Linked DNA regions of Macaca fascicularis. The protein of the gene in region 3 interacts with the protein of the main gene of each other region in a pairwise test. Links are inferred from orthologs where the notes say so. Each region holds a gene or a part of one and is shown on either strand. Other genes may lie near its edges.

Evidence for each region. The genes of interacting proteins can lie anywhere in the genome.
Region 1: the proteins of ATXN1 (region 3) and YY1AP1 interact in binary tests that used the Homo sapiens proteins (3 or more experiments, as listed by UniProt). The link is inferred for Macaca fascicularis from reciprocal best matches to the Homo sapiens genes ATXN1 and YY1AP1.
Region 2: the proteins of ATXN1 (region 3) and EIF3F interact in binary tests that used the Homo sapiens proteins (3 or more experiments, as listed by UniProt). The link is inferred for Macaca fascicularis from reciprocal best matches to the Homo sapiens genes ATXN1 and EIF3F.

What each region holds. Positions count from the first base shown.
Region 1 is NC_088375.1:105,442,852-105,446,351, forward strand, and holds part of YY1AP1 (YY1-associated protein 1), read left to right. Parts: intron 1-836; coding exon 837-987; intron 988-3,500. UniProt on the Homo sapiens protein: Associates with the INO80 chromatin remodeling complex, which is responsible for transcriptional regulation, DNA repair, and replication. Enhances transcription activation by YY1. Plays a role in cell cycle regulation.
Region 2 is NC_088388.1:57,828,837-57,832,142, forward strand, and holds the end of EIF3F (eukaryotic translation initiation factor 3 subunit F), read right to left. Parts: intron 2,235-3,306; coding exon 2,143-2,234; intron 1,688-2,142; coding exon 1,551-1,687; intron 1,416-1,550; coding exon 1,302-1,415; intron 728-1,301; coding exon 650-727; 3' UTR 501-649; downstream 1-500. UniProt on the Homo sapiens protein: Component of the eukaryotic translation initiation factor 3 (eIF-3) complex, which is required for several steps in the initiation of protein synthesis.
Region 3 is NC_088378.1:156,154,676-156,158,762, forward strand, and holds the start of ATXN1 (ataxin 1), read left to right. Parts: upstream 1-1,287; 5' UTR 1,288-1,469; intron 1,470-1,555; coding exon of another isoform or gene 1,556-2,659; intron 2,660-3,327; coding exon of another isoform or gene 3,328-3,390; intron 3,391-4,087. Other genes in the region: uncharacterized protein, read right to left, coding at 333-428, 1,556-2,659, 3,328-3,390. UniProt on the Homo sapiens protein: Chromatin-binding factor that repress Notch signaling in the absence of Notch intracellular domain by acting as a CBF1 corepressor. Binds to the HEY promoter and might assist, along with NCOR2, RBPJ-mediated repression. Binds RNA in vitro.

The DNA.
Region 1 (3,500 bases), on a different chromosome or scaffold from region 3:
ATTTGTCTGACAGGGTACTTATTATTCATTTTATATTTGTTTTATTAGGATCATTTTCCTTCCCATGTATTCTCTTTGAACTTCCTTTGTATTGTTAATATACAGCTCATCACGATCTGACATTTATTAATGATTTATGACGTTTCTTTTGCTCCTACTTAATTGTGAACTATTTGATTCTTATTCATAGTACTTAATCACTACTCACTAAATACCTGGAATTTTCTACTGAGTAGTCACCAACTTACACAAGAATTAGTTGTCAAAAAAGTAGATTGGCCAGCCATGGCGGCTCACACCTGTAATGCCGGCACTTTGGGAGGCCGAGGCAGGAGGATCGCTTGAGGCCAGGAGTTCAAGATCAGCCTGGGCAACAAAGTGAGAACTGGTCTCTACAAATAATGAAAGAAAACATTAGCTAGGCATGGTAGCAAACATTTATGGCCACAGATACTCAGGAGGCTGAAGTGCGAGAATCAATTGAACCCAGGCATTCAAGGCTGCAATGCACTGTAATCACGCCACTGCTCTCCAGCCTGGACAACAGAGCAAGATCCTGTCTGAAAAAATGAAAAAATAGATTGGGCCACACGCCATGGGCTCATGCTTGTAATCCCAGCACTTTGGGAGGCTGAGACTGGAGAATCGTTTCAGCTTAGGAAGTAGTGGCTGCAGTGGGCTGCAATTGTGCCACTGCACTCCAGCCCAGTTAACAGAGTGAGACCTTGTCTTAAGAAAAAATGAGAAAAAGTAGATTGTAAAATGTGTTAGTCTGGGGAGGCCCTTTAGAAGGAAGGACTGTGAAGTGAGATTTAGTGTCATTGCTCCTTTCTCAGTTTGTTAGCTTTAGGACTGAAGCATTTTGAAGGGACTGAGTTTCTTAACCCTCTAATCAGCAAGTACCTTCTAACCTGCAAGACTGCCCGCCAACTGACAGTGAGAATCAAGAACCTCAACATGAACAGAGCTCCTGACAACATTATTAAAGTGAGTGTTTCCTGAATGCGCCATCCATGCACCTCACTAATACATATCCGTTCTTTCCTCTTGTAATTCTGAAAGGAAAAAAGAACCTTATTTTATCTTAAGCTAATTTCTCCTACTTATACACTAGATGAATTCCCCTGTTGCCTTTTCAGGGACATTGACTCATTCATTACGTTCCTCTGGAGTATCTTCATCCTGTTAAAAGATTTCATAAATCCATGTTTCCCTGTAATAATTCTCTTTCTTGAACTTTTTTTTTTTTTTTTTTTTTGAGATGGAGTCTCGCTCTGTCGCCCAGGCTGGAGTGCAGTGGCGCAATCTCAGCTTACTGCAAGCTCCGCCTCCTGGGTTCACGCCATTCTCCTGCCTCAGCCTCCCGAGTAGCTGGGACTACAGGCGCCCGCCACCACGTCCGGCTAATTTTTTTGTATTCTTAGTAGAGACGGGGTTTCACCGTGTTAGCCAAGATGGTCTCAATCTCCTGACCTCGTGATCCGCCCGCCTCAGCCTCCCAAAGTGCTGGGATTACAGGCGTGAGCCACTGCACCCGGCCTCTTTCTTGAACTTTCTAGAAATGATATGCAGTATTCCACTTACATGTTTTGGGGTTTTGTTTTGTTTTGTTTTTTGGTCAAATGTAATCTTGTACTGTCACCCAGGCTGGAGTGCAGGAGTATAGTGGCATGATCCTGGCTCACTGCAGCTTCCACCTCCCAGGTTCAAGTGATTCTCGTGCCTCAGCATCCCAAGTAGCTGAGATTACAGGCGTGCCCACAACGCTTAGCTAACTTTTTGTATTTTTGTGTGTTGGCCAGGCTGGTCTTGAACTTCTGATCTCAAGTAGTCCACCGTCTTGGCATCCCAGAGGCTAGGATTAAAGACATAAGCCACTGTGCCCAGCCTATATACTTTTTCTCAACTCTGTGTTTGTTTGTATGTATGCATGTATTTATTTATTTATTGAGATGGAGTTTCGCTCTTGTCGCCCAGGCCCAGCCTATATACTTTTTCTCGACTCTTTTTACTTATCGATTGATTGATTGAGATGGAGTTTCGTTCTTGACCCCCTGGCTGGAGTGATGGCACGACCTCGGCTGACTGCAACCTCTGCCTCCTGGGTTCAAGCGATTCTGCTGCCTCAGCCTCCCTTGTAGTTGGGACTACAGGCCCCCACCACCATGCCCATCTGATTTTTGTATTTAGTAGAGTCGGGGTTTCACCGTGTTGGCCAAGCTGGTCTCGAACTCCTGACCTCAGGTGATCCATCTGCCTTGGCCTCCCTAAGTGTTGGGATTACAGATGTGAGCCATCACCCCCGGCCTTCTTTTTTATTTTGATATTTATTTATGGTTTGTTTTTTGTTTGTTTAGAGACTGGTTTTCACTTTGTCATCCTGGCTGGAGTGCATGGGCACAATCATAGGTCACTTCAACCTCAAACTTCTGGGTGATCCTTCCACTTCAGCCTTCCGAGTAGCTTGTACTACAGGTGCATGCCACCAAGGCTAGCTAATTATTTTATTTTGTGTGAAGACAGGGTGTCATTTTGTTGCCCAGGTTGGTCTTGAAGTCCTGACCTCAAGCAGTTCTCTTGCCTCAGCTCGGCCTCCCAGAGTGTTGGGATTACAGGTGTGAGCCGTGATGCCCAGCCTTTGGTTTCGTTTTGTTTTTGTATTTTTCTTGAGACGAAGTCTTACTCTCCTGCCTAGGCTGGATTATAGTGGTATAGTCATAACTTACTGCAGCCTGCTCAAGCATTCTTCCAACATCAGCCTCCCAAGGAGCTGGGATTATATGCATGAGCCACCGTGCTTGGCCATTTTTTTTTTTTTTTTGACAGAATCTCGCTCTGTCACCCAGGCTGGAGTGCAGTGGCACAATTTTAGCTCACTGCAACCTCCGCCTACCAGGTTGAAACAGTTTTCATGCCTTCGCCTCCTGAGTAGCTGGGACTACAGGCATGCACCAACACACCTGGCTAATTTTTATATTTTTAGTAGAAACATAATTTTACCATATTGGTCAGTCTGATCTTGAACTCCTGACCTCAGGTGATCTACCCACCTCAGCCTCCCAAAGGGCTGGAATTATAGGCATGAGTCACTGTGCCTGGCAAAAAAAAATTGTTTTTTTCTTTTTTTTTTTAGAGATGGGGTGTCCCTGTATTGCCCAGGCTGGTCTTCAATTTTTGGCCTTAGGCAATTCTCTTGTCTCAGCCTCTAATTGGTATTTCCTGGTGTATTGGATTTAGGCCTTATTTATTAACCATAAACCATGGAAGCCAAAGATTTACCTCTCTCCTCACTCCCTTTCTCCCACCACAAACATGCACATTTTATGGTCTCCAAACTCCTCACTAGTAGTTATGGAACAATTTTGGTTAGATTGTATTCAGGATTTACATTGTAAGATTTTAAGGACTGTCGGCCAGGCGTGGTGGCTTATGCCTGTAATCCCAGCACTTTGGGAGGCCGAGGCGGGTGGATCACGAGGTCAGGAGATCGACACCATCTT
Region 2 (3,306 bases), on a different chromosome or scaffold from region 3:
AAATGCCATCTAGTCTTTGCTCAAATTGAGCCACTGGCAGACCTCAATATAACTGAAGGCTGTACCCTCAAGTTACAGATAGCACCTAAGAATTTTCTGAAGTTTTGGGGAAACCTCTTTAATCTTTAACCCACAGATCTTAATTGTCCCTCCCCAAACTAAAGTGGCAGACAGCTCCATCTTACTATTAATGTATTTTAAGATAGTGACTACACACTCTACTCTTTTAGTTTAGATTAAGCATCCAATTTTCTCAGCTATTTTTTCTCCATGGATTCTTATTTTCATTTCCTACAGAAATCACACGAATCCTCAAGAAAAGGTACAGTTTTGCCAATGGACACCTTTCCATATTGAAAACCAAAAGAACAGTTTGGTAAAACAGTAACCTGCCAAACACATAACCAACTTTTTTACCTACAATATTCACTTCCTGGTTTCTGTGTGATCTAAAACATTTTCCTCCCTTCCACCCGGCAATAAACTCACATAAGATGAAATTAATTTACAAAAGGTAGGCTATGTTTATTAGAGTCACACACAGTTGACTGTCTCAGTGTGACTCAAGACCACAAAAAACCCATTTCTCCTTCACTTCTGAGTCCTGGGTTTAAGACCTATACCAGCAGGCGTACTGCTTGGGGTCCATTCACAGGTTTACAAGTTTTTCATTGAGGGCAATCTGTGACTGTGTGAGGTTGGCCAGGTAGGTCACCATCAGCAGGTCCTGGAAGACAAAGAATACACAATGAGTGGGGGGTTGGGTGGAAAGGGAGCAAAAAGGCTGGCACTGGCTGGCTCTATGGTGGGCACTAGGTATGAGGACAGTTGTGGATAAATGACAGCTGGGAGAGACCGAATAAAAGTCAAAAAGGTAGACGACAGAAAAGAAATGCTTGAGAAGACTTTCTTATCTCTACTGAGACACTTACAGTCTAGGGGTGCCTTAGCTGAAACCCATGGATGGAATATAGGGGGTCCGTGAACTCAGATGGGGAAAACAAGTAATTGCATTTTCCTTAACCTCTGAATTTTAGTGTTTCTTTCTATCACAAATTTAGACAGTAAGTCACAGTAGCATCAGCAGTAAATGAGACAATGTAATCACGGGAGAAGGAAGAAGTCTCCAAACATGCATACCACACCTCTTCCTTCCTCCCAACCTGGACTTCCATGGGGCTATAGGTGAAGCCCTGTCTCTATCCTACTCCAGGCCACCTCACCCAACTCTTCACATTTGAGTGTATGTGCTGAGGTAGGGGAAGAAACCAGGCAAGCAGGGGCTCAGGAAGGGCACTCACATTGATGTTGCTGTTGAGCATGGTCTCGAAGTCATCGGGAACTATTTTGGGTACTTGGTTAACCAGGCTCATCAGGAAGCGGCCCACAGTATTGTCAGCTGACACCTTTCCAGACTGAGCACCAAAACAAAGACTCAATGAGGCAGTTAATTATAACCACTGCGCCCTACCATTTCATCAGCACCTGCCTCAGTAATCCCAGGATGGAGAACTATGTCCTCCCCCTTTGTTTTTTCTTTCCCCTCTCACCAGTACATCCTCTGCATATTGCAACACTGTGCTCAGGGCATCCTGGATGCGAGCTGATGCCCCTCCTACTTGCTGCAAGTCACTTGAGAGTCCAATCACTCTGTTGGGGCTAAAGCAGGTCTTCATGATCAGGTCAACTGTGGAAGTTGGGTGGCAGTGGCAGTGGTGGGCAGTAAGAGAGAGAATTCAGTCATCCCACCAGGAAAGAGATGGCCTTAAAGTCCTGCTAACTCTGTTTCCCACCTCCCCTTAGACAGTCTGCTCAATCACACTCCCTGCTGTGCCCTTATCAGCTTTTCTTCCTCCTAACAGAGCTCAACTCCTTTTACCTGGTATGCTCATCACCGGTTTTGATCTCATATGAATGGTCATGTGGCCTCTGGTGCTGATAATTTCCCACCTTTAACAGTTTCTCAAATAACTCCTTAAATCCCATTTATACAAGAGATGACTGTAACTTCTAGTCTTCACAAACCTTAGATCAATAGTCCCTTTTTAAACCACCCAAGGCCTCCATCCTTGTTGCAGAACAGCAGCCCCCTTCCCTGAAAACGCCTATGACCTCTCAAGAGAGTATGGAAAGGTTACTCACCTCCGATGCGTTCAGTGTCATAGTATGCGTATTTCACTGTCAGAGGTGTGAACATCACTCCCATGGTCCTCCCAGGGACACCCATTAAAGTACTGAGGAAGGAGAAGCCAAGGTAAACAGATGGCCTTGGGAGAGGGTTTCCATGTCTATTCTGGGCTGAGAATGCAGATACAGCAGGAATATGGCTCCCAAGGTTCTAAGACAGGAAGGGTGGGACCAAATGAACCCGAGGTCTCATGGGAGCAAAAGTTACTTTCTCCCCTTAGCTTGTCCCACATACCAAACCTTTGATCTGTAAGAGGGGACGCAACCTTTGCACCTGGCCTGGTCCCTTTAGAGGATTACTTCACACACGGTGCAGTGTCAGTGATGAGAGGACAGGACTCAATTACCCATGGAGTTGGCTGTCTATATAGCTGCCCACCATGGAAAAGAGACAGAGACAAGTCTTTTCTGGGACCAACCCCTTCATCAGCATTGAAAAAGGAAACCAACTCCTGCTCACCAAATCAGATTGGGTGCTATAAGTAATCTCACTAAAGGTATTGTTTTTACTATGTCAATTATATACCTGGATCTATACTTTACTATGTCAACTCTCTATCTATCGTATCTATCTATCTATCTATCTATCTATCTATCTATCTATCTATCTATCTATCTATCTATCTATCCATCCATCCATCCATCCATCCATCCATCCATCCATCCATCCATCCATCCACCCACCCACCCATCCATCCAGCTGGATCATATATATATATATATATATATACTGGATCTTGAGGAGTCTGAAATACTTGGGAAGGCTAAGAAGTCAGGCAATGGCTAGTGCTTAGTGGTATGCCAACTGGCTCATAAAGACTTGGCATCCACCATCTTTGTCTTACTGTGTAAGAGTTAACTGGCTTTGTCAGTGTCAGACACAGAACCAGCACGAAATCAACAGCCTAACAGATGCACTAACAGCTGCCTTCCCTCTGACTTTCCAACTCCCACAGCTGCTTCCAACTCCCACAGCTGCTTCCTCAGCACACCACCAGGGCCTTTCCCAACATCCCCCTTAACTGGCATTTTAACCACCTGCAAGCTCAATGTGTTCACTGTAATGTCACTGTCATTAAAACTGCACTCAATCCTGGGTTAATTAATGTGTTCAAAATA
Region 3 (4,087 bases):
TAAGCACCTGAAGAAGGTCAAATGTCTCCCGACACCTACTGGCCTTCCAGAATCATCTGCAACAAGAACACCACATTGAGCGCCTTTAGTCTGGAGGCGCCTCTTAATCCTCCAGGTGCCACACCTGTTGGCAAGGTGCACCCATCCGCAGAAGATTCCTTCGCGTGGAGGTCACACCTGGCGGCGGGACAGGCGGAGGGGCCGGGTGGTGGGAGTCGGGAACCGCAATGAAACCCTGAGTCCAGATTTAAGTTCCTCGTCGATTGTAGAGAACTGCCATTTGATGCTCCGGTTGCTTTCTCTGTCTCCTACACTGGTTACCTCATTTCCGATTAAATTAATGATCCCAAATTAGCTGCGAGAGGAGTGCGCGGGTCTCCTTTCCAGGCTAGAGCGGAGTAGTTCCATATCAAAGCCGATTTCCGGACCTGCGGAGAGAGGGAGGGGAGGGTCCGGCGGTCGCCAGCGTTCGCAGGCAGGAAAGGTGAGGGTGCCTGTGCAGTCAAGGGGCCCCTTGAAACTTTCCGGAGTTGCATGCAGAGGCAATCCCCGCGGCCCCCGGGCCTGGGTTCCGGAACGCCGAAGCGACGCCGGTTTGCGGGTTAACGTGCAGCTGATGATCAGAGTGAGCCCTTTTAGACGCTGTTCCGAGCGCCGGGGACCAAGGGCACGTAGGGATTAGAATTGACTGACCTCCCCTCCCCCCTGGGGTGTTTCATCGGCTCCCAGCTGAAGCCTGACACCCCTTGAGGGAGTCCCCCAGGTTGCCTGAGTAGCGCCCCGTTGTCGCTCAGTCCCCTCCAACTAGGTGCAGGGACCCAGGGAGGCGCGCGAGGACCGACCCGTCACCGCTCAAATTACCTCATCGCCCAGCTCCCCGCCCCCATCCCAAACCTGGAAGGAACCTTGCCCTCCGGTCCGCGTCTCCCCTGCCCCGCACCCCATCCCGAGCCACTCTTTGGGAAAGGTGTCCGCCTCCCCAGGCGGCGCGCAGCGAAGGGTTAAGGGCGCGGGCCGGCCGCCGCGCGGTGCGCTCGCCGTGCTCTGTGCGGCTTGCCGGGCCGCCCGCCAGAGGGTGCCCCCCACCCCCATGAAGTCGGATCCTTGAGCTGCGGCGGCGGCAGCCAACTGCTCCATATTTGGCTTCTATTACACATTTACATACTGGAGCGAGCGAGCGAGCGAGCGCGAGAGAGCGCGAGGGAGGGAGGGCGGGCGGGCGGAGGGAGGAGGGAGGGGAGGGGAGCGGGAGGAGGGGGAGGAGGAGGAGGAGGAGGAGGAGAGAGCAGAGTATACCGCAGACATCATTTCTACTACAGTGGCGGAGCCGTACAGGACCTGTTTCACTGCAGGGGGATCCAAAACAAGCCCCGTGGAGCAGCAGCCAGAGCAACAGCAGCCGCAAGACATTGTTTCTCTCCCTCTGCCCCCCCTTCCCCACGCAACCCCAGATCCATTTACACTTTACAGTAAGTGGCTATTTTTTTTCCTCCTCTGATTCTTCCCCCCTCCCCCATCCCCTTCTCCCCTTATTTAGATTAAAATCCCTCCTCACCCGATCTCCCGAGAGGGGCAAAAGCAACAACCAGCAAACAAACCCAAAACCCCAATCGGCTGCACGGAAAACAGCTGGAAGAGGAGCGAAGGAAATCGACGCGTCGTGTTCTGTGTGTGCGTGTGTGTGTGTGTGTGTGTGTGTGTGTGTGTGTGTGTGTACATACAACCGTCCCCGGCTCCAGGCTCCCGGGCCGACACCCCCACTGTGGGCGCAGGGGCGGCCGGCGAGGGGGCTGTCAGGGGTTGGGTGGGCGCCCGCCAGGCTAGGGGGCGCGCCCGGGCGGGGGGCGCGGGCGGGGAGAGCGGCGGCGGGGCCCCGTTCCCCCCGGCTGCTGGTCCGGTCGCGAGTGCGGAGAGCTATGTCCTCCTCCCTCCGGGTGGCGCAGGGGGGAGGTGGCGGCGGCCGGGGTGGCGGGGTGGTCCCTTTCCCGGCCGCCCTCTTCCCATTCCTCCTCCCCGGAGAGGGCGGTGAGAGACAGGGGGTCTCGGGGAGGGCTGGACTTCCACGCGGGTGGTCGCCTGGCCTCGGCGCCCCGGGGTAGGGGTCTCCTCTCGGAGGTCCGGCGTCGCCGGGTGTGCGGCTGCGGGCGGGGAAGGGACTGCTCCTGCAGCCTGGCCGGGACTTTGCGCGCGGCCGGGTGCCAGGCGGGGGGCGCGGAGGGGGTGGCCTCGGGGACCGCGCAGGGGTAGCGGGTGTGCGGGTGCCTGGAGAGCGGCTGGAGTGGCGGTGGCGGCCCTGGCCGCCGCCGCCACCGCCGCCCTGTTGGTGCGGCCGCTTCCTGATCATGTGCAGCGGCAGCCGCCGCCCGGAGCCGGGAGCCCGCGAGCGCCCCAGTCCGGGCCGGCGACCCCGCCAGCACCCGCGGCAGGAGCCGAGGAGCCGCGGCAGGCGCTGCCCTGAGCCGGGAGTGAACGGCTGCGCGGCTGCTGGGAGGGTGAATGAAGCCAGGAGGAGGGGAAGGAGGAGGAGGCGGCGGCGGCGGAGGAGGCGCTGCGGGGATTGGGATGCGCCCTGGAGCCCCACTGCTCGTTCACTCTGGGCCGGGCCGGAGACTCTGCCACTCCCGGGGCCGCCGCCGCCGCCTCCTACGTGGTTCCAGAGCTGCGCGCAGGCCGGTCCCGCAGGGGGCAGGGAAGGGGGCCGGACGGGCGGAGCGAGAGGTGAGGCGGTGTCGAAGCGCGGCGTGAGTGTGTGAGTGAGTGTGTGTGTGAGTGAGTGTGTGTGTATTTGTGTGTGTGTGTGCGCGCGCGCCGGGCGGGGTGCGAGGGCAGTCGCGACGCGGAGGTGGCCCTTCCTTGGCTACTTGGCTGACTCTGCAGCGCCCCGACCCCTCTTCAGCCCCCCGCCTTCAGGCTGCCTTCTTAAACTCCGTGGCTTGTGCTTTCATTTTATTTCAGACCACGTAGGGGGCTGACTGGAAGGGATGAAACAATTCAGGTTTTCTAGGGAGATTGAGCAAGAACCTTAGTGGGGGGTGGAAGTAGGGTGGTGATCGAGACTCTGCCAGAAAACAAAACAAAACAAAAAAAATCAGTTTCTAAGGACGTCGGGGGTTAGGTTCGAGCCCGTGGCTGCTCTGTTTTGTTTTGCTTTCTTGGTATATAATCCTACAGATAAAAGGGTAATACAAATATTTGAGAAGATTGAGAAATTGCTGAAGAGTAGTAAGGGCAGGAAAAAAAAAAAAAAAAAAAGCCAGTCGGAAGAAGCTGGTTATATAATGCGCGATGTGGCTAACAAGAAAGGCAAGCTATTTTTATTTTGTTTACCGTATGCTGTGCAGTAGGGACTCCTCCAAACTGGTTCTGTCCCCGAAGAGATTCATAGCTTCCCTGTGAGATCCACAGGATACAATTAGCAAAATTAGAAGACCCTATTACACCCACAGAATAAAAACTAATGCCTTACAGTGGCTTTCTCCCTGCACATCCTGTCGTGCATGCACGGGAATGTGTGTATGCAAATAAGTTCTCCTTTGGCAATCTAGTAGTCACATCTCAATGACATTTGTGTTTTATAATGCAGGCTGTTTTTAATATTTAAACATCATCGTTATATATTGCACACAGCAGTGGGTAGTTACTTGGTTATTTTTAGGCATAGCTAGTTACTTTTTCAACAGTGTTAGCTAAGACATTTCTGTTTGGGTTTTTTAGGAGGCTGCAGTTCCTAGAAGCCCCCGTTAAGCCCACCCTTCGGTTTATTTGGTGGGTAAAGGTAGTTTGATACTCGAGCTTTTTTTGGAATGAAGCTTATGCCTGAGGAAACCACCAGAGAGAAGAGAAAATCCTGCACAGGAACTCTTGGAAAGGGATTGCACCATAACGGCTAGCGCTGTGCCATTTAATCTCCTCTGATTGCCCTCTCACTGTGCATGCATCAGTCAATATTTTAGCAGCTCCGCAAATAAATGGACTTGAATGCCATCTTCTACATAAAGCAGAGGTTGAAGGGCTCCCCTGAACCTCCTGGCTGCCTGTCAGTGGTGTAGGTTTTCGGTGCACTTACTCCAGCCCTGATCGCTCATGT